3 linked regions of the Lytechinus pictus genome follow. The protein of the gene in region 1 interacts with the protein of each later gene in a pairwise test. Links are inferred from orthologs where the notes say so. Each region holds a gene or a part of one and is shown on either strand. Other genes may lie near its edges.

What was found.
Region 2: the proteins of huntingtin-like (region 1) and coatomer subunit beta-like interact in binary tests that used the Homo sapiens proteins (3 or more experiments, as listed by UniProt). The link is inferred for Lytechinus pictus from reciprocal best matches to the Homo sapiens genes HTT and COPB1.
Region 3: the proteins of huntingtin-like (region 1) and 33 kDa inner dynein arm light chain, axonemal interact in binary tests that used the Homo sapiens proteins (3 or more experiments, as listed by UniProt). The link is inferred for Lytechinus pictus from reciprocal best matches to the Homo sapiens genes HTT and DNALI1.

The regions. Positions count from the first base shown.
Region 1 is NC_087256.1:7,276,235-7,284,121, reverse strand, and holds the start of huntingtin-like, read left to right. Parts: upstream 1-4,670; 5' UTR 4,671-4,777; coding exon 4,778-4,899; intron 4,900-7,887.
Region 2 is NC_087263.1:10,345,636-10,353,477, forward strand, and holds the start of coatomer subunit beta-like, read left to right. Parts: upstream 1-4,704; 5' UTR 4,705-4,812; intron 4,813-7,842. Other genes in the region: inner centromere protein A-like, read right to left, coding at 55-162, 1,764-1,906. UniProt on the Homo sapiens protein: The coatomer is a cytosolic protein complex that binds to dilysine motifs and reversibly associates with Golgi non-clathrin-coated vesicles, which further mediate biosynthetic protein transport from the ER, via the Golgi up to the trans Golgi network.
Region 3 is NC_087245.1:30,453,799-30,461,285, forward strand, and holds the start of 33 kDa inner dynein arm light chain, axonemal, read right to left. Parts: upstream 3,139-7,487; 5' UTR 2,975-3,138; coding exon 2,894-2,974; intron 1-2,893. UniProt on the Homo sapiens protein: Involved in sperm flagellum assembly.

The DNA.
Region 1 (7,887 bases):
GATGTTCAGTTATATACCTGATTAATGTTAATATATCCAGTTTCATTAACTAGGTCCATATACTTTCTAAATTATGATGACATTTCAAAAACTTAACCTTGGTTATGATTTCAATGTTGACGACGCCGAGTCCGCAGCCGTCTGAAAAGCGGTGCCTATAGTCTCGCTCTAGCTGTTACGCTGGCAAGACAAAAACAAGAAATAAGAGCGAAAGAGAAAGGAAGAATAAAGGGTGAAGAGTGAGAAGAGAGCCGGGGAAGAGAGTAGGAATTGGAACGAAGACATGAGAGACAGGGGAAGACAGCAGAAGCATCCTACTCGAGCTGTAAAGTGCTCTAGAAACAGGATTTTCACTCTTCAATTTGTTCAAGATTTTCTCACATGGTAACTGTTAGTCATAACATTAGGTCATTAGTATGGAAGCTTAAAAGTGCCACCCTGATGTTCATTACAATCATCCCTTCTAAATCATTTAGACATGACGAGATCCGAGATCTTGCCATCATATCATCTCTTCTAAAATATTTAGACATGACGAGATCCGAGATCTTGCCATCTGATCATCTCTTCTAAAAGATGTAGACATGACGAGATCCAAGATCTTGCCATCTGATCATCTCTCACACAGGATGTAGACATGACGAGATCCAAGATCTTGCCATCTGAACATCTATCCCACAGGATGTAGCCATGACGAAACCATCTGATCATCTTTTCTATAAGATGAAGACATGACAAAATCAAGAATCTTGTCATCTGATCATCTCTCACACGAGATGTAAACATGACGAGATGATTATATGAACATCTGGATGGCACTTTTAACCTTCCATACATTAGGCCTATATAAAAATCCAACTTTATCTCGCGCTTCGCGCTCGCAGTGGCTGTTGCGTATAATAATAAGCGATCTACTCAATGGGGCTTAAAATATCAAATTTTCAAGTCAATCTGCACAAATCATTCTTCTCTTTATTTGATTTTTGCAAGATACACATCCTGTTCTAAAGTGCTAAATGAAAAAATATCAGCTTGCGCTAGGCGCACCCATCAGTTGTTTAATTAGATACCCACCCTGTTCGTGGTTTTAAAAATGTGCTTAGAACGTTAGTTATCAACTCGGAATATTAAAAAAAAATCAGCTCGCGCTTTGCGCTCCTATTATTTGTTTGTTGAGACATCCTTTTTCATAAGTCACTGCAAACAGTCCTTAACAGGTATCTTTTTAAGTCAATGAATAAAAATAAAAAATAAAAATCAGCGCGCGCTCCGTTCTCGAATATACAAAAACTGCGCAGAATGTTCAATTTTCGGGTCTAATTAATACATAAAATATTTTTGAAAGAATTGAGCTCAGCTCGCTGCGCATTATTCATTTAGGCCATGCGAGATACATTATCTTGTTTGTAACTATAAACTATGCTAATCTCCAGTCTTAGTTAGGACCATGGCCCTGGGAAGCGGGGCCGCTGGGGGTGATGCGTGTATTATTTTCCATATAGGCAGCACCCCCTGGTATTGGAAGGTGAGACGAAATTGAAAAATGTAACAAAAATTACCTAAATTTTGTACAGACCCTCACCCTAGCTTTTTTTTTTGGGGGGGGGGGGGGGTTGTCAAATTTCTGCGGACTCAAATTACTTTCATTTTGTAGTATTTTTTTTTGCTTGTCAAATTTACATCAGCACCCCCAATCAAATAATCGTTCCCATGACCCTGGTTAGGACTCCCCATTCTATAAAACATAAACAAAACTTAGCTTCTAGGGGGTGATCGGGGATATAATGTGCATGAAAATAGTTTTACTCCCTCTTTCCTATTGAGTATTGGCAGTCGAAATCCCGCTTTATAAACTGTAATAGAAACGCCTATGTGTGATCTGCCCCTGGACTCCTCGATCCATACCCCAAAATGTGATTCCAAGCACCCAAGTCACTAAAACTCGCTCTTCACACTTGATTCTGTGAAATACGCAACAACAAAACAAATCCCTTCTTCCCCCATACTTTTCGTTTGCCCTTAGTCCCCCCAGTTTATAAATCCTGATGCCGCCACTGTAAAAATGATTCACATCTCACTATAATCAAATAATGAGAGCGCGAAGCACAAGCTGTTGGTTTTTTTTTCATATTCCGACCTGAAAACTAGGTACTTTTTGTAACCATGAAATGTACAGGTATACCATTTATGCGGACGCGAAAAAAAACCCTGTTGAACAAAATATACGAGCTCGAAGCCCTAGCTATTTGGTTTTTAGATTTTAATCTAAAAATGGGACATTCCGCTATGCACTTTTTGTAATCATGAAAGGATTGTATCTAACTAGATAATAATAGCGCGAAGCCAGAGTGTGTTTTTTATGTGTTGAAACGAAAGAATCTAAACATTTAAACACTGTTTAACATGCAGGAAAATTGTGAAGAGGATATGGAACTCACATGATGCGAGCGCGAAGCGCTGGTTGAAAATTTTAGCCGATTTATACCTATAAACGGGACATTTTAAGTACGTTTTGTAATCATGAACAGGATGCTTATCTTCAATGCCGTGAATGCAAAGCGCGAGGCTGCTAGCTTTAATTAAATACTTGATGTTAATGATCTGAAAAGGGACCATTCAATGGCATTCAGGAATTTTAATCAAAAGGATATTCGTATCGCATTAAAATGAGAGCGCCTCAGGCTCATGCAAGGCCCAGTACTGGCGAGGCCGCAAGCTGACTCATTTCTAGTCCAGACATTATTTTATGTAATTATGAACTAGATGCGTATCACACTCAAACAAAATAATGAAAACTCGAATCTCGAGCAGAATAATTTGTAATTATTGACTTGAAAACGTGATACTTTTCGGCCTCATAATCCCTCATAATATCCTCTTGAGCAGATTACTGTCTCACTCTAAAGGCATTGCGAGCGCGAAGCGCGAGCGAAAATTTTATGTTTATATGACTCAATTAAAAAAAATCCTTTCCTCCCCCTCTCTCCTTCGTTTTTTCAATTTTCCCCCTTTTTTCCTCTTTTTTTGCTTTACTAACTCAGGGGGGGGGGGCGCTTCGGCCCTCTGTGTCCGTCTATATGTAAGAATTGAGTAGATAAGGATAGAAAATGATATGATGAACATGATACAATACATGGCCACATGGCCCCCAGTCCCAACACTTTTATCCTTTAGTTGTTCTATCCTGGACCGGAAAGCTGTGGGTATTTCAAACTTAACATTGGATTTGACAAAGTTACGAGGATTTATACAATTTACTGAGGCGAACTTGAAAGTCCTATAGGAAAAAAGAATAGAACACGAACCTTTACATATTAATTTTTTGTTGCAGTACAACATAATGGACAAAAGTAAAACACCATGGGTCTCATTTTGACTGTGGAACGCCGCCATTCATTTAACAGTTTATAGAAAATACACAGCATCAATCAAGGTCTTGAAATTCAATAACCATCTCTCTTCCAGACCTTTCCTATATACCACATTGAATTTTCATACTATTGTGATATCCATAAAGGAAAATACCAATAATTTAAGAATGTGGTAGGACACCATTTTTTCATAGCGTTAAGTTGATCTTTGCATAATATAGTTAACTATTCAAGAAATGAATTTGTGTTCTACATTGTGAGGAGCTAGCTATTCCATCTATGTCAGAAATCGAAACAAGTTTGATTAATTTTTTAAAATACACATGTAGATAGATAGATGTTTCTCATGTCCACATAAATTTACATGTATGTTTTTATTGAAATTCACCGAATATCACAGGCAAATAAATAATGGGATCACTGTGCGATTCTCATAAAATAATACAATTTTAATGAAATGTATAGGGCTAATTGATAAAATAATAATACCAAATTTAATTTTCTTGAATATAGATAGACAATTAGATGGTTTAAGAAGTTCGTTGTGTCAAGAGCCGAAATGTGATGGATACAAACGGCAATTATTGATACTTAATCCAGCTGGTCTATATGATATCATTTGATCTTTAAAAAATACTAAGATTAGTAAGTAACGTATAATTTTGTTGTGATTTATGTCCAAAAGTCTAAAAATTAGCAAGTGTTTGTTGTGTCTCAATATCACACAGCTGAATTCCTTTTTTTTTTTGGGGGGGGAATAATAATACCAAAATTAATTTTCTTGAATATAGATAGACAATTAGATGGTTTAAAAAGATCGTTGTGTCAAGAGCCGAAATGTGATGGATACAAACGGCAATTATTGATACTTAATCCAGCTGGTCTATATGATATTATTTGATCATAAAAAATACTTAGATTTTAGTAAGTAACGTATAATTTTGTTTTGATTTATGTCCAAAAGTCTAAAAATTAGCAAGTGTTTGTTGTGTCTCAATATCACACAGCTGAATTCCTTCTTCTTTTTTTTTTTTGGGGGGGGGGGGGATTTTTGCGAGACCTAGAATGATGTTCACGCCCCTTAGGGGTTAACAAGTACAGAGAGCACATGCCCATTTTTTTTCTCTAGGTGATTATACTCCATACCTCTATCTATGATATAGTCCCACTATCTAAGTTATGTTTAAAGAAAAGAAAATTACTTTAGTTTTTATGTAAAACTGAGACCTCAGCTTGCTTTTTATATCTTCATTTATTTCACCAAATTTGCATGAACAAAATGCGAAGCAGATATCTGCCGCCCTCTTACGTTTAAAGATGACTAGCTTTTGGATTACCGTGAATTCGCCTGCGATGATGGTGGAAATTTCAAGATAATTCGTGAATTCTGACTACAACCGGTCATCATGAATCGAGCGGTCAGTGTATCAAACATGGAGAAGCTGGCCAGGTCCTTTGAGGCCTTGAAAAATCACCAGCAGAGCTCGACATCAGTCGACGATACGACGAGCACTGGCAAAGATGCAAAGTGAGTATCGAGAATCACTCCCACTGACTCACCTGACTGTCACTGCACTGTGTGCACTGTGATTGAATGGAGATTGTGAATGTGTGAGGGGGGATCAATTGAATGGCAGAATGCACAATGAATGCAAATTGCAATATGTAGGCGTGACTGTCATGACTGTGACTGTGTGAGCCTTGTGTCTTTGTGAGACAGTGTATGAAATGATTTTGCACTAGCTTGTGCCTAGCCAGGAGTAAAAATCATTAACTAAATTAAATATTCTCCACGACTACGGGCTCGCGGAGCCAGGAATTGTGCCCATCATGTGCGTAGTATAAGTAGGACGATCAAAGTTGCAACTTTCGCCCCCGAGATTTCTACCTTGTAAAAGTTCTTGCCCTAAATCATGTAAATGGGCTAGAACTTCATTTCCAATAATTATGCATTATTGATTACATTTTTAAAACAATGTAAATTAAAAAAACAAAACAAATTTATTATGAGAAGATTGGATGTAACGTACCGATGTTTACGTTGCCATCTTGCCCTCTTTGTTTGTAGCTAAGCTACGACACGCAGCAGCACAATATCATGTCGCCCTCTATATGCGTGTCATATACATTTCAATTTGTTTATATTCATTCAAAATTTAAAACAATATATACAAGGTAAACAAATTTATAATGAAATAAAATGCAGAGACAGCTTAAAGTGATCATTTCACTTTGTTCTGATTTAAAAAATTCTCCTTTTGGTTCCTGAAAATGGGCTAAACATTAGGCTTATAGTGTAAAAATACCATCCCAAAAGTTTCAAAGTATTATATTTACAGGATCAATTTTAAAACCTTGGAGATGTAAACCAAAGTTTGAAATAATTGGGAGTTGGTTTCAATGACTATGTGTATACAGGGAATCTGTGCACCACAACACATTAATTCTAGATGAACACAGCATGACCTACATACAGTGTGTACAAGGTATACACTGAATGTACAGTACAGCTAATAGTGTGTGTATAGAAGATACACACAACAGAAGGCAGGCAAAATAGCCAACAGACTTTTTGAATTGGAGAAAACTGGTCATAAGCTGAACCCGTCTACTAGACGGTTCTCAAAATCAGGCTAATAAATTGCTACTTGTATCTAAATTAGAGTTTTTCATCCTATATTGTGGTCTGTTTCAGGGTTTTTGAGGACAAATACAGGCACTCATACGCACGTTTCAACTCAGTTTGAGAATTTTTTAAATCAGCTGCTCACAAAGTTAAACGATCCCTTTAATATAACAATGTCTTATAATGCTGCCACCAATATTTTCCATCAATTGTAGGGTGGCCTAGGGCTAACATTTAGGCATGGTCTATCCAAAAAGAGTTGTACAACATACACGTGTTCACCCCCTGCTTGCCTGTATAGATCTGCCCTGAGCCAGATCACGATTTTAACCTTGGGGGTTTATTTTGCATACATGTCTACATACTTGGTTTGCATGGCAAAGAGAAATAATGAATATTCTAATAAGCACAGACAACCAATAAAATAATTTATGAATATACATAGAACATGAAATATGAATAGCTGCTACTGAATATTCAAGGCTCCACATTAACTTTTTTCGGTGGTGGCCCGTTCAGGCCACCAAAACCTTCAAATAATTTTTTTTGGTGGCCCGATATTGAAGTTTGGTGGCCCGGAAAATATAAAGCAAAAAACATTAAACATTCTGAAAGATTAATTCTGCAGCCACTACCACTAAGTTACTTTCACTTTGTACATCTTGTGTGTAAACCTTGTTTGCTGTATTTTACTTTGCTAATTGATTTGTGGTAAAATATAGATTGTTCTAACTTCTATCATTTATATGAAATGATTGAAAGAGAATAAATGAATTGTGTGGACTTTAAAAAAAATCTCCGTATAGACACAGATTCATAATGGAAAAGTAAATAAATACTGCATAGCAAACTCAGATAGATGTACAAAACAATGATTTTTCCTTTCTTCCTCTTTGAATCCTAAAATCTAGATTATGGAGGCCCCAAATCCAGTTAATTTTTTTCTCTTTTGCATCATATTATAGCAGGAGAAAATCACAGAAAAATATGCTGCAAAATTAGAACAATGCATAAAAGGGGGAAACAAACAAAAATAATTTTCAAAAAGTATATTACAAAAAGGAAACAATAATAATAAAAGAAATAAGTGAAATAAAACAAAAGAAAGAAAATGAAGAAAAAACAAAGAACAGGAAAAAATTAAAAGAAAAAGAGAAAAAAGATTTAGACTATAAAATAAACAAAAGAAAATAAAAGAAAAATGAATCAAACAAAATTTATATAAAAATGGGGGAAAGGAGGAAAAATTAAGAAGCCATTACAAATATTTTTTAACAGTCTATTCTGACTGGAATATAATTAAAAGCCAAGCAAATAATTTTCACTTATCTTTTGGTAATGGCGCATTTCTATTTTTATATCCTTTAGTTTGCATTATTTTTTAGTAGAAACATTCTTTAATCAGGCTTATTCAATGGGAAGGGGCATAAAAAAATGAAAGAAAAAAAAAGAAAATGACATAAGTTATATATCCTGGAAGAAAAAAGTGTGAGAAAAGTCATTCCCTATATTTGCCAAAATGTTGGAAAAATTCACATTTCATATTAATGAAATGACTTCCCAAAGTATTTACTTTCTCAAGAGTGGTTTAAGAAGTCATGTATAAACAAGAAAGAAAGAAACTGTTTATTTTTGGCTAGAAAAGACACAGCTCCGAAAGAAACAAAGTATCAACATACATACAAATGCACACATGGGACTGTGATGTACTCACCTATGGGTTTTTATGTGTATTAATTCATTTGGAAATCGGTCTTTTTGAGTCAAAAGAGAGGTCATAATTCCTCTTTTTAATGCTTGCAAATAATCAGGGTACACCAGATTTTTAGTAATATGGACTGTAGAAGGGCATTTCATTGGTGTAAAATGTGACTTTGACTAAGATTTTCA
Region 2 (7,842 bases), on another chromosome or scaffold:
ACCCTCAGCTCATCTGAGTTTATTAAAAACTTGCGACTTTTGTGACTTTCTTACCTTTTAGATGGTATAGTTTCCTCAACTGAACTCCTCCGAGCAACACGTCGACCTTTACGCGTTCTATTCTTGACAGCAGGGGTCTTCGGTAGGAGTATGGCATCATCCCTATAGTTGGAAGCAAGAAGTTAAAAGCATTGATTAAACTATGATTTTGACTCAAATTTAAAAAACCTGCAAATATCAATTTGTCACCTGTGGTTTGTTGTAAATACAAAGCCCCCCAAAAAAATATTGTTAATGAAAATCGTTATTCAGTCATTCAGTGCACTTCAAAAAGTAACAGGAAAAACCTCCACCAGGGGCCCGTTGCAGAAAGAGTTGCGATCATCAAATGCAACTCAAAATATCTTGCGCTAATTGATTTTCAGCCAATTAAGCACCCATATTCGGGACTTGCGCTTGATATTTTGACTTGCGTTTAAAGTTAAACACAACTCTTTCTGCAAAATGCCCCAGAAAATCGAGTACGTTTATTTGAAACATGTGCATTCAGAATCATCAGACACACCCTCTCCTAAAGGACAATTATATTCAGTCATGGTGAGGTGAACCATTGAAAAGTTATGACATCAGGTGGGTGTTTCATAAAGCTGTTCGTAAGATACGAATGACTTTAAGATCGACTGGTGATCCTTTCTTGTGCTATGTGATATCTCTATGTAATTGATTATGACCTATTAAAGAGAAATTCCAGTAGTTGCAGTAAACACTGATTTCATGAGAAAGTCTGTAAAACCAGGCTTAATTGTCAGTATATCATCGAGGATCTAGATCTGGTACAGTTACATAAACTGAACTTTGTGAAATCTTGAAATCTACGCTGAAAAATGTTCAGACTGAACTTCCCCAACACAGATAAGTGCACGTGGGACAGTGTATAATTATTGCTTTGAGCGTCGGGCCCGACGCTCTACCCGAATCCTGTGCTTATTTGCTGATTTCTCAGCAATTACACAATTTCTTCCAGAATCCTTTGGCACATGCGTTTTATTTATACAAACAGATACTTTGGTGGTCATTTCATTGGATTCTGTACGAACTCATTTTGATATCGTTACCAAAACTAGCATTTACCTTAAAGAACATGTTTCAGTCGTGCATAAAGTCGTTCGTAACTTTACGAACATCTTTATGAAACATCCACCAGGTGGGTATTTCGTAAAGCTGTTCGTAAGTTAAGAGCGACTTTAAGAACGACTGGTTCATTGGCGATGGTTTGACACGTAAGAAAGGTTCACCAGTCATTCTTGAAGTCGCTCAACTAAATTACTCTTAACTTATGAACAGCTTTATGAAACGGCCCCTAGGTGGGTGTTTCATAAAAAAAGCTGTTCGTAAGATAAGAGTGACTGGTGATCCTTTCTTTTGGTAAATGGTATACACCATTGGCGATGGTTTAGCACGTAAGAAAGGTTCACCAGTCGTTCTTAAAGTCGCTCTTAACTTACGAACAGCTTTACGAAATGGCCCCCTGGACCGGCTGCTCACATACATGCATTTGTCAGGTTGTGAATTCAAAACTTTATAACATCACAAGTTCACAACTCTCATTCGCGTGTAGATATCAATCATTCTCTGGCAGATATTCGGCAAGCTTTCATCAATTCTTTTCTGTGTTTTTTTTTTCTTTTATCATACATCACCTATATCATCATTTAGAGTGAGATGAGATTACACTGAAACCACGATCAAGGAGAATCGCCTACCTTCCAAAGTTCTCCTTGGCAGTTATCAACACCTCTTCTAGATACTTCATGTGCTTGGATTCAAACTCGTGGAGGAATTGCCGGATGTGTGCCTCTGCATCATGGTATATATTGAACCCCAGGAGGGGTTGATCACCAGCCATTGTTGTAGTTTAATTATTATTCTGATGGACTAACCTGTGGGGGAAAAACAAATCATTACCATTTTGGGGTAATTCCAAGCAAGTCAAATCAAATCAAACCAATTTAATTATTGACTCCAAATGTGCCCATTTGATTAATTGATAGTCTATGGCAAAAGCTGACATTTTCACTGTAAGCAGTTTGCCTTTAATACGGATCTACAAGTACAAATGCATTTTGTTCGATACCATCCACCATTTGTCTCATCCACCAGCGCTAACATCTAGCCACCTAACTAGCCAACAAAACAATTTGAATTACTTAGCAGTTTTTCTACCTTTGACTTTGAGTTCTCAACACCAAGTGTCTACCGAGGAGATAGACCAAAAGCTTCGGTCTCTTTTATGTTGGTTGTTCCGCTGAACTCTGTTGGCTCCACTCACCAAATACAGAGACCGAAGTTCTAGCTTGATCTGTACAGGGACTCAATGGCCATATGTTAATGTATTAAGTTCGGATAAAACAGGGATTGAAGTTGCGCGACAGCTGAAGTAAGTCACTGTTTTTTCCCCTTTTAAGTTTATTTTTCCCCGTTTTGGTGCATTTCAGGCTATAAAGGCATGATAATCTTTATTTTGGTACAGTTCTTTTTATATATTTTTATGAAATAAAGACAAAAATTGATGAGCCCCGTCGGGGGAATTTTGCATTGTTAACCCCCTAATGGTGGCTGCACGATAGCGAGTCGTCTGTGTACGAGGAGAAATTTAAAAAAAAAAATGTTTAAAAACTCCTCGAAACAGACGGCTGCCAGCTGTCTACCGAGGAGACTACTAATGTAGGGCGTGAAACAGGCCCAAAATGAACAACAACAACATCCACAACGAGCTTTTGACCTCAATGAGACAAAAATTCTTTGTTTTGCACCCAACTTAAAGGACGATACGCGCGGGGGAGTAGGCGCAGTGTCCATATGAACAAGAATCGATTTACGAGAGAAAAAGGGGGAAAAGATACAAATTTAGTAAGAATTCATCAAAATTGTTTTGACTAGACCCGAACCCCGCCGAAAAACGGTTGTTCATACGGGGCAAGAAATCCGATAGGAAACGGCTTTAGAACAAATGTCCGTCGTCAATCGTCGAATCATGTGCCGGAGCTCGCAGTGGAAGTACATATGACAAACGATTCATCAATGATATAATGTTGTGAAACCTCTGTACTTGTCATCTCATAAAGAAAACACCTAACCTTGTGATAGACTCTATAAAAGTGAGAATAAAAGTGAAATAAGTACTAAAGTAATGAGGGAGTTGTACGTGTGTGATATCACAGATCTTGGTCGCATTGCCGATGAGAGGATCTACATGGCACTAGTGATCTCAATATTCAAATGCTCATAACTTTCTTATTATTCATTCAATCTTCCTCAAACTTTCAACAATATGTTTCTTTGATTTTTCTCTTTGATATGGATTCAGCTAGTTTCAAGGGTTTCATTCTCCTTTAAATGATTTTTACTCTCTAGAAGCCGCCTGGCTACTTTTGACCTCAGTGAGACAAAATTTTGGGTGGAAAAAATCATGCTTTTGTTGGTGTTGTTTCATTTGTCCTTTTGCAAAGCAAGTCTCCAATGTGGGAGATTGTCTCCCCTATTGGAGAGAGTCTCCCATATTGGCCGTGCGCCTCTACTGATGTAGTGAGACGATCAGTCGATCACTATACTATTTAGCATTTTGATATCAGACTCAGAGAACTGATTTGGATGAGTCAAAATATTTCGCCACTGTGACAAGAATCGGCCGTAAAGTGTATCGGGGGCGGTCGGTTTCAAAAGAAGGGTGCAAATGAGCAAATGTAAACTAAAATCGTCACATTCGTTGTTCGCCGATATATACGCGAATAGAATCGTTCAATCGGAGTCGTCGATCGAAGCATGGGAATCTGATCTGCTCAATTTTCTGCACAAATTAGACAAAATGTAGGTAAAACTGATAAATATTTTCGCAGATACGATGCTTAGGAAATTAGGTGGTCGATAAATTAAGGGGTAGGTCCAACCATTAAATCTGTATATTTAATCATGTCAAACGTATTGTATTTTAACTTAAGACATCATCATGGAGTCCTCAAACTAACAAGTAACTTATGTCTCCCTCCCTTCTGGTCTGGAGAGCTATATTAATAATTTATTATAAAAAAAGACATGATTAAGTCAAGTGATTAAATTACGGTCAATAATGAATATGACTAATCATTCTAATGACATGTGATACAAGTCTATACTATAGTCATGATAGTACAGTTAAATTATCAATTATCTGCTCAACAAAGTTAATCATAATATATATGAGTCTACTCATATTTTCTGAGGTCAAAACCAGATTTCAACACTGAAAATAAATTGAAATCACCCTTTGGCATTGATGTAAACACGCCAGTCGCCACACACACATTCCATTGTTAATGAATGGACACACAACACCGACGATTCAGTCAGCTCAGTCAGTCAGTGACTGAACACTGCACAACACCGAATGAAATTTCTTCGTCATTGAAGTACATCTTACAAGGAAAATTATAATCATGGGTATTCATATTTTTAAGACATCGAATTTTATAAATTTGTAATAATATACTCACCGTATGATATTACAACATCGAAAAACAATGGGCATAACTCGATGTTTCACCGTACACTTGCATGACTCGACTTGCCGCGCGTGTGATGAATACGTTTCAAATCTAGTTGCGGAAAGAGAGCCAATCATAAGCCACGAAGTAAGTACGTCATATGCACACACTATATCGCGATCACCGTAGATGGCGCTGAAACGCCACGTTGGAATTTACCGATTGGAGATAAAACTGTGCGAGGAAAGGTTGTGAAGATCTACAAAAGAGTGATTTTGATTTACATTTTCGGGTAATGAGAGGATTGATGCTCATCATACATAATTTGTATTTATTTATGTATCACTTTTAAACATTTCTAGTCTATATCTTTAGCATGTTATACCATAAAAATTGTGATCATTTACCACTTGATTCACTTAACCCGGGCCTAGGTAGACTCGTAGGCAAGGGGGTAGTATTGCCTAATGCGTGCGATTTAGCATGCACGCGATTGAATGGCGGAAAACCATAATTCCATGATGCATACACTTGAAATGCACACGAGCCAAATCACTGACCCTTTTGTGCAATGCTGCAATCTTTATTTTAATGGTGGTCGCCTATTTTTTAAAGATTTTTTATATATTTATTCCAATGGCCTTTTGAAATTTTCTCCTGTGACTGGGAGTGTATGTGGACTATTTGCAGCTTAATGGCAATGTTTTATGAGATAGATTAGACTTGTCTTTTTGACTTTTGAAAGTTTTGTATTGAATTTGGGTAGGCCTAGGGCCCCTATTTTTCTAGCCCTAGCCCTAGGCCTAAATTCTAAAAAAGTTAGATCTATCCTGTATCCAATTTCAGAGACAGTCTCCAGTTTGGGAGACCAATTTCCTTTGTTTACATTTGCTGCAAAAGGATTACATTGTCATTGGCAGCAAATAAAATGTGATAAGCAGATTCCTCATGAACAATTACCCCTTTTCACCCTCATGAGTCCCGTCTGGCATCTAGTCTACTTTAAAAATTCACCGTCTAATTTGATAAGGATTTTTGTTGTCATACACACACAAAACAAATGGGCTTCTGACTAGCCAGGACTGGCAGGAGTAGCCAGGGGCCTGTTGCATGAAAGGGTCTTTGGTAGAACCATTCTACGTAAGAACGAGATATCGCTCAACTGTTTCACAAAGCCGATTTGGGCGATACGAAGAATGGTCCTTGGAAAGACACCTCCAGACATGTCCTACGTAGGCATGATCTCATTTGCACACCGCCCGCCACCGTCGGCATTGAGAGAAAATGCATTTACGGCAAGCCACACTGACATATCACCTCTAAACATTTTTTTGGTTGCACTCTGATGCATTTTATCTGGGATGGCGCCAAGTTATTTTTTATATGGGGTCTAGTTGTCATCAATTTCAGGTCATCTTTTTGCACGGCAGGACGACCAAAAACGGATGTCATTTTAACTTCTCCGGGGTACATGTATTATTCCCGGGGGTAACTAGGGCCAAATATTTTTTTAAATATGTTTTCTTCTATTCTCCCTCCGTCTTATCCCCACCCCTTTTCTATTAAAAAATAAACTTGAAATACTTGAAATGGGCGGCACTATATCTCTTTAGCCGACCCCTCATGCTTTCTCATTATAGATAAACAACAAATTTCTTTAAAAGAAATTATGTAAGGTAAAAAACGTGTTCAATAACATTCAGCAAAAAAAAACAAGACAAACTAAACTAAGATGTTAAACATGCTAAATCATTTATTTATTTTTATTTTATTTTCATTATAATTATTGTTTTTTTGCTGAGATTTATTTTAATCAATGAAAATTAATTGTTGGATTTGAAACAGTGAAACAAAACAAAAAACCTGCAGCTAATATTGAATTTAAGATACAGATCAAGCCTATAGCTTACGAATCCATCACAACCATTACAAATGAAGATAAGTTCATTAAAGAAAAGATTATGGAAAGTCCATACGAAGAGGCGCATTTTAAATCTTAGGGTAGGCCCCTTTCGGCCCTTATGTCATAGCATATAATCTCTATACTCCTTAACTTTGAAATTTTGAACATATATATTTTTATGTTATTTCTTAAACCTTATATTCTTATATAAACTTCCATAAATTAAGTGATCATCTTTAAATATGACCAGCGTTTATGATCGTTGTCATATTTAGCATTATTTCTGTAAAAGTATTTTTTCCATTGCGAATTGATTCACACCTTTTTCAATGTTTTAATTATTATTGCAAAGTACTATATACTTTATCCACTTGGACATGTTTGCAGCAATTTTCATATTTTCATTTTCTTCTGTTACTCATCATGCAACTGAGGTATGTTTATACTCTAAACACTCACATTTGTATTTCTTGCGTTATATCTGACAAATAAAATAAATAAATTAGATTTTTCACACGCAGCCTCTCATATTTTCCTTTTTAGTCTCATACAATCAGACACTGTTGATTTTGTTTACTCCATTTAAACCCTATATTTACCTCAACAAATAACATATTAACGCATAATTTATAAAATTATCATTATATACAAGTATTCTATAAAAATACAGAATATTGAACTAATAAATGTCGAAATTACTTAGTTAAATCAATTTTTATGTCGGACAAGGGTCTCTTTCGTTGAAATATCAATAAAAGGTGTCTCTAAAAAGACACCGTGTTCTAAATAAGGGAAATAATGAAAATTTCGATTTTATTTAGTTATGTTTGTGAATCTTTAAAGTTTTTTCTCTTTTAACCTCATAAAGTAAGCTCCATACATCAATTCTACTATCAGTAATAAATAAAACATTATTTTATCTCCTTTTATTGAAATATCGGATTTTATGTAAAGTCGTCATTCAGAAATAAAAGGTTCAGGTGACGATGAAGACTAAATATTTTTCCGATACTATCGATATCAAACGATGTCGCGGACTTGGAAGACAAAATTGCCTTCGTGAAACGGAAAGCGCTGATTTGTCGCCAATCTTCCTATCTCGGAAGAATGGTCCTAGGACGTTCCTACGTATCGCTCATCTCGTCATGCAACAGGCCCCAGGAGGCTTCTAAGTTAGAGAGTAAAAATCATTTACTAACGTAGGCTTACTCTCAATGAAGCCAGGTCTTCCTTCTCATTCACCTACACGAAGGACCCCAAAAAACCTGAAACTTTCACCCCCGAGATTTCTACTTTCCTTCAGATCTAGCCCTAAAATCATGTACTAGGGAGTGATGTACATGGGATTAAACTTCATTTCCGACATTTCTACGCTCTCGTTATTTTTAAACAAGAATTCATCAAAAAAAATGAGAAAAA
Region 3 (7,487 bases), on another chromosome or scaffold:
TCTGGAATAAAATCCCTACAAATATCCAAAATGCTCCCTCCGTGGAAATTTTCAAATCACTTTCAAATCAAGTCACTTAAAACTCACCTTTTCTCATAACTTGTTTTCTTTTTTCTTTTTTAATGGATTGACTGTATATTATTATAATCTGCCAACCTGTGCGCTTTGAAACACCAGTATAAAGCGCCATACAAATGTTATTATTATTATTATTGATTTATCTATGCAGCAACCATCTGTTGATCTCTGAGATTATTAGAAGAAGCAGCTGTACTTTTAACTCCCCAGAGCCCAAGGAATCAAAAATACAAAAACAAATTTAGACAGAAACAAAACTCAACTCTTCATAAATGGGGATAGAGTCTAACGTTAGATCTACTTCTTTTGCTGAAAAAAAAATGCCTAGGAATCTGTCCGCATTAAAAAAAACAAAAACAAACATGCCCCATTACTTCTTTCTCCATTTATCCAACACTGATGGATGCACTAATGCCGACGCAATGTGAAGCCGGTGTTCAGAATTTGTTCCTTCTTAAGTTACTAAACTAAGAGTAAGACAGACTCTAGACTAATCTGACTTGGATCTAACGTTAGCTTAGAAGCAACAAATTCTGAACACCTTCCTTGACATGGTGGTGGTGACCTTAATTTGTGCATAATTACCTAAATTGCGCACGGTAGAATATCTCAACATCCAATCAATATCTTGAAACACTGATATCACCAATTAACAGAAAAACTTCAAAAAGCCACCCAAAATTACTCAGTATGGTAATTTTCTTGAAGGTAATTGGCAAAACATCAGCAAAGTTTGCTACCTTTTGCGTTCGCTCCGAGAAAATCCGAACTTCTCGACAAGCATCAAGAAATCACCAGTTTGCAAGCAGTCTTTTAAAAAAGGTAAAATGTGATACCAACTGAATTTATCATGTTTATGGCATTTTAACCTCCATCTGATACAATCATCTTTCCTTTGGCTTTGTCTGCATTATTTCTTTTCTAAAGCTTTGCTAAACGATCACGCGTAAAATAAGGTCACACATTTTTATGACACTTTTTCAGCCGAGCGTGCATTAGTCGATCACCATGGAATTTTGAGATCGCAATACCAGTAGGGTGTCTGAAGCCACACTGAAAAGTGTCAGCATAAAACACCAACAGGCTGATTTAGGGGGAAATATGGCACATTTTTTCTGGAAATTCAGGCTGCTATAAAAATGTGATCTGAATTAAATATTAACTTGTGTTTGGCATGTATGGAAAGAGAAAATTCAGGGGCTTCTTTTGACAGTAAGGACAAGTTTATAGGATTATTTGAAATGAGGATTTTGGAGATAAATTGCAAACCCTTATTTGTGTGTGTGTTAAGATTGCCATTTCCCCATGCGTTTTCTATGGGAAATGAAATTCTGTTTTGCACAAATTTTTCACTTTGTCGCAATTTTTCATTGTGATCTGGTTTCCAAATCTTTATAAAAATCATACCATCAGAATGAACATAAAAATTCCTATTAGACACTTTATAGACAAGTTTTTGGCATTAATAATAAATTTTTAACAGCTCTCGGAAGCTAAAAATTTGGATTTGTGTGTCCATTTCTTTACTACAGTCTATGGCAGGGAAACTTTGCTGAAAATTTACCTAATATCATTCTCCTTTTTTGCAGCCAATAATTTGATTTTTTTTTAATGTTATAATTGTTGTCATTCTGAAGGTTATTTCTCTTCAATTCAAATTCACAAAGAAAATGTGATATTTCTTGAAATAAGAAAAAAAAAAATTTTCTCCAGACACCCTACCACTTATTTATACCGGTAATGTTAGTCGGTAGTACGGTACCAGCAAAACCCTGCCCTTGACTACTTTATAATTCCATCAAGCGAATTTGACTTTTAGGATCTTGCCTTCCATTTGGTATTTATGATTTTGATTAATTTTTGTGTGAACTGTGAGTGTTAGAATTTTTTGATTGAAAATTAGCTTCATGTGATACGGTATATTATTTCTAAAGACTAAGAGTAAGACTAAAATCAACATGTGCACAAATTATGATCACCCCATCATAATTCATAGTATGGTCGGGGGTCCTAAAGCTGCGCGGGTCCTAAAGCTACGCACCACTCATAGCGCATGCAGTTTTTATGGCAAATGCGCACTCTGTGTGTGGAACTGTGACTGCAGATCTGACGAACGATTCCTAATCAATTTTTTCTACAGAGGTTGCAGTAAATCTCTAAATGCAGAGAAAACAAACAACTATTTGGATTTTTGGAGTTATATTCGCTTTAATTTCATTTTATCCTATAATAATGTGAATATATTTTAGAAATTGAGGCACAGGAAATACTATTTTTTTGCATGATAAATCGAGTGCGTAGCTTTAGGACCCCTTCTACATCGGGCGGCGAAATCAAGAGGTGTTCGGAAAACATGGCGGGATTTTCGTGTTAGTGAGTTTTGCGATATTTTCTTCTTGGTTAATGATCTTCATAATGTTTGCCACAAATTAGTGAAAGATAATTTGTTGAAATATTAAATTTAAAATTGGGATAGTTTTTGTTGTTTGAAAACAAAGTGCGTAGCTTTAGGTCCCCCCATCATACATTCATTATCACTGCCATGGCATACGTGTAGATAAAGTCATAAAGAGATACTTTCTAGCGTGAACAACTCTAAAAATCAGGCTTGTTTCAGCGATAAAGTTAAATATTTCGCCGCCACTATGACTATATAGCCTAATTAAGTCGCTAGCCGCAGTCAGTTTGACAGTGGTCTCGCTCAGCGCTAGCTATCGGATAGGTCCAGCCGTCTTTTCGGTCAGTTATGTGCTCAGAGCAGCGCAGTGGTGCTGCTAAACTTTTTTGCTGCAGCTGCCTTTGCTTTACAACTTACCCGAGGTGTTTTCTTCTCAGTATTTCTGCTTACAAGAACAGGGTTATCATATTTGACTAGTGACGCATTTGGTGGAATCATTTTTTCGAGTTATAAAAATGAATATTCGAAAGAAATTGGGATAATCCGTTGGTTTGAAGAGAATTCTGATACAAACACGAACGAAGATATGGATTGTTGTCATGGGATACCCATAGAAACAAATTCCCATGATGCAGCTGCGCAAGCAGCTATGTCTTCCCGTCATGCATTATTCTCAAAGATGGCGACTTCCATGACCTGGCAAGGTGTGATAATTTTCCTCTATTTTTATTGTTTGTTAATTGGATCGTGTTATTTCTTTGTAATTAATGTACATATTTTAGTTAGGGGTGTAATTAGCGTGATGTTGAGTCGTATTTGGGAAACATTTTGGTTGTTTTTAATGTAGTAAACGCGTTTTTATCGATGGTCAGGGGAGGTGGCCGGGGTCGTTGATCGACGGAACCGACGAAGCTAGCCAGCGTGGCCGTGGGCTGGTCGGCGCTCCCGACGATGCTCCGGCCGTCGGGTGTGTGGACCATGCCGGTATAGCCTATAGGCAGGGCTCCACACTAACCCTTTTTTTTCTACTGGTCCAACCTATGGCATAATTGTACTTGATGCCCCCAGGGGACATCAACTTTTTACCTTGATTCGTGGATCCTCGACCCGACCCTGTTTATCATCGGCGAGTTGATATCCATCCGCGCGTGGTTCGGTTGATCGCGCAACAAATAAAGTAATTGGGGGCATCAAGTGCAAGTAATATAAGAGAGACAAGCTTTAGCTCTCAAGGTTACATTAGCTATCAAGGTTAATTTTGCCAACAAGGTTAATTTTGGCTGCAAGGTTAATTTTGTTGAAATTTTTGGGGGCATCAAGTACAAGTAATATAAGACTAAGAGAGACGAGCTTTAGCTCTCAAGGTTACATTAGCTATCAAGGTTAATTTTGCCAACAAGGTTAATTTTGGCTACAAGGTTAATTTTGTTGAAATTTTTGGGGGCATCAAGTACAAGTAATATAAGAGAGACGAGCTTTAGCTCTCAAGGTTACATTAGCTATCAAGGTTAATTTTGCCAACAAGGTTAGTTTTGGCTACAAGGTTAATTTTGTTGAAATTTTTGGGGGCATCAAGTGCAAGTAATTTAAGAGAGACGAGCTATAGCTCTCAAGGTTACATTAGCTATCAAGGTTAATTTTGCCAACAAGGTTAATTTTGGCTACAAGGTTAATTTTGTTGAAATTTTTGGGGGCATCAAGTACAAGTAATATAAGAGAGACGAGCTTTAGCTCTCAAGGTTACATTAGCTATCAAGGTTAATTTTGCCAACAAGGTTAATTTTGGCTACAAGTAGAGTTACCAAAAGGTCGGCCGATCCACTGAGCAAAATTGCTATGGGCAAATGAAAAGCCAATTGCAAGTGCGTAAACAGTGTGCATTGCCACCATCGTCTGTTCTCGACGGCAAAAATGAGCATTGAAATGCTTTTCCTCAGCAAATTAGTTCATCTTAGTGAAAAAAATTAGGCCCTGTATTTTCTATATTAAAATTGACTTATGTGGGATGAAGTGTCTTACCTTCATGTGGTATCGAAAGTGACGTTTGGAGGTTAAATCCACGAGAAATCCACAGAGTTTCGTCGCGTGTATTCGCTATGGAGAAAAATGCGTGCGATCGCATGCGTTATTGCAAGCTCGAGACGGCGCTGTTGAACTTGGTCTGGAAATTCATAAAAAATAAACAAAAATCCTTGAGTAGGCTCACAATAAAATCATAAAAAATATGCTTTATGGCTAAAACGGTAGTTCTCTTGCCCACACATATCATACTTGTTGTTGCGTAAGAAATCCTTTTTTCATGATAAATATATAGCAATAAATGTTTTAAAAATTATGTTTTCCACATGGAATATGTTTGAAACATCTATATTAGAAGAAAAATGTTTTTTTTTAATGAATTCAAACTAAAATGAAGTTTATACATGCTTGCACTTTTTCATACTACTCAAAAAACAAAATGGGCCGTCAATCAACGTTGGTTACCTCGGCAAGTAGGCGTGGTCTATCGTGAAGTTCGCTGGTGACGTACCTTTCTCGCTAGACTTTACTCAGCCGCCGAATTTAATTCATTCTCCGCGCACGTGCAACTGCAACTTATTATCGTCACTGCACTGCTGGTGTTTGCCGCATTGAGGACAGATGATACAATTCAGATAGAGTTGCGCGTGTACAATGAGTGAAACAGCGCGATCGTTTCATGATCGAATGAAACAGTGTGCCTGTCGAGATAAAATTCATCTGCCATGTTATTTTCTATCGTGTTTTATGCAACTGCAATTGATTTGTTATATTATTTTCTTTGATATTTCCTGTATATGTATGTATGAATTTTATTTGAAGTGAATGAATCATGCTGGTGTCCTTGCCATTGAGGCAGATGAAGATGAAACAACACTGATAGAGATGTGCGTGTACAAGGAGTGAAACAGCGTGATTGTTTTATGATCGAATGAACAGTGTGCCTGTCGAGATAAAATTTATCTGTCATGTTATTTTCTATGATGTTTTATACAACTGCAATTAATTTTTTTTTCTGTGATATTTTCCTGTTTATGTATAAATTTTATTTGAAGTGAATTATTATAAAGATTAATCCAAAACAAAGCAAATAATTGTCGGCTTCATTGTATTCGTGATGAACAAGTTAAGGTATCACAAAATGATGCTTATTTTTTTTATTTGAATGACTTTGAGTAAATTGGAATTGAAAAGGACGTTTAGTGTTTCCTGTTCAGTGCAATTTTTGTTTTCTTTTTTTCATTTCACATTCTCGGGATGCGAACCTCCACTATAATTATAATTAATGAATACCATTATAAACAAAAATATTTGAAAAAAAAAGACTCGCAAAAATTTTAATACTAGTGCAACGGTGATTTTTTTTTTGTTTTTGTTATTTCATTTACTGGGAGGTACGACAGACAAATACCCGGTGTAGATCAAAATTTTGCTAATGGGGGGGGGGGGCTACAATTTTTACCTTTTTAATTTTCGCACCGCCAGTAGGAGGGGTTGCCGCCGCCCATAATTGGGTCCGGCACCTGGATCTGCCTATGGAATGGATGAGGAATAAGGAAAGGGGAGAAAAATAAAGGTGCCCCCTCCCGTAATATATCAAATATTTGTTAGTGGATTTTGTCGTTCATTCTCAAGTGAGGACTTATTTTTCAACTTTTCCCAGGAATTTTGTGTATGGAATGATTTTTTCTTAGCATACTAGGTCTTGAATGCCCCCACTTTGGAAAATCCTGGATCAGCCCCCGTCAAGGTGTATATAGATGAAACTAAACTTGAATAGGGCTCCACATTAATGATTTTCAAAATTTAGCCATTTCCTATTTTCCCCGTTTAACACTGTGAGGTGAATAATTCAAATGCTTTCCCCATCCCATCGCTACCATAGAAGGATCCAGGGGGGGGGGGTCATCCCCCCCTTCCCTGTTGGCGGATTAAAGACCAAAAAATGGAGAAAGGAAGATTAAGAAACAGAAGGGAAAGAGAGGGGGAAAGGGAGGGAGAAAAGTGAATAAAATTAGGGAGGGGAGGCTTTGATGATTTAAAAGAACATGCAAAATTGAAATTTTCGCTCGCGCTTCGCACTCGCATTGCTTATTTTCGATGAGTACATATTGCTCAATAGGCTGATATATATGAGCTTGACATTTAAGCTTTGCAGTCAAAATACAAAACAAATACTGTACGGTCAGCTAGGACATTGAACTTTCATTATTCTTTTTGATTTATACCTCGGTCACATTTGCTCTGCGGCGGCCGTACGGAGAGTCGAAATAGCCGTTTTATTCATTTTTATTCAAACCACCTATATTGTGCTTAATTTGACCTTTTCACATCGGAATATCCAATATTATCAGTTCGCGCTTCGCGCTCGCATTATTGATTTCCGTGGTAAAAAGTGTATTAAGAATGCACAAATTCTAGAACACGCATGTTTATTGAGAAGGACGGGCTGCTTATCCTTTATTGAAAACAGCATGCTTAAATTATCTCGCTTCAGATTATAATATAAAAAAAATTCTTCTCGCTCTTGCATTATAAAATAATGTAAGACGGTAACCAATTACCCACCCTTTTCACGATTTAGAAAACATAAATATAAAATAGTGTTCCTTTTAGGTCTATATATCTCAATTGTTATCCGCTCACGCTTCGTGCTCCCACTGTGTTCTGTTCATACACAAAGTGCTTGGAATGTCCATTTTTATGGTCAGAATTTCAAACATTTTAGCTCGAGCTTTGCGCTCGCATTATTTTGATTGAAATATGCATCGTTTTCTTGGCTAACTGTAAACCGCCATTAGCAAGTCCCTTTTCGATCAGGCCAGAACGTATATTTCTCTCTTTTCTTACTTACTTTTTTTTTTGCTCCTTCGCGCTCGCAGCAATTTTAGTAAAATACGCATCTTGTTCAAGTTCACAAACATTGCCCAGAATGTTCAATTTTGAGGATAAAAAACATGAAATTTCAAAAATATTTTAGCTCGCGCTTCGC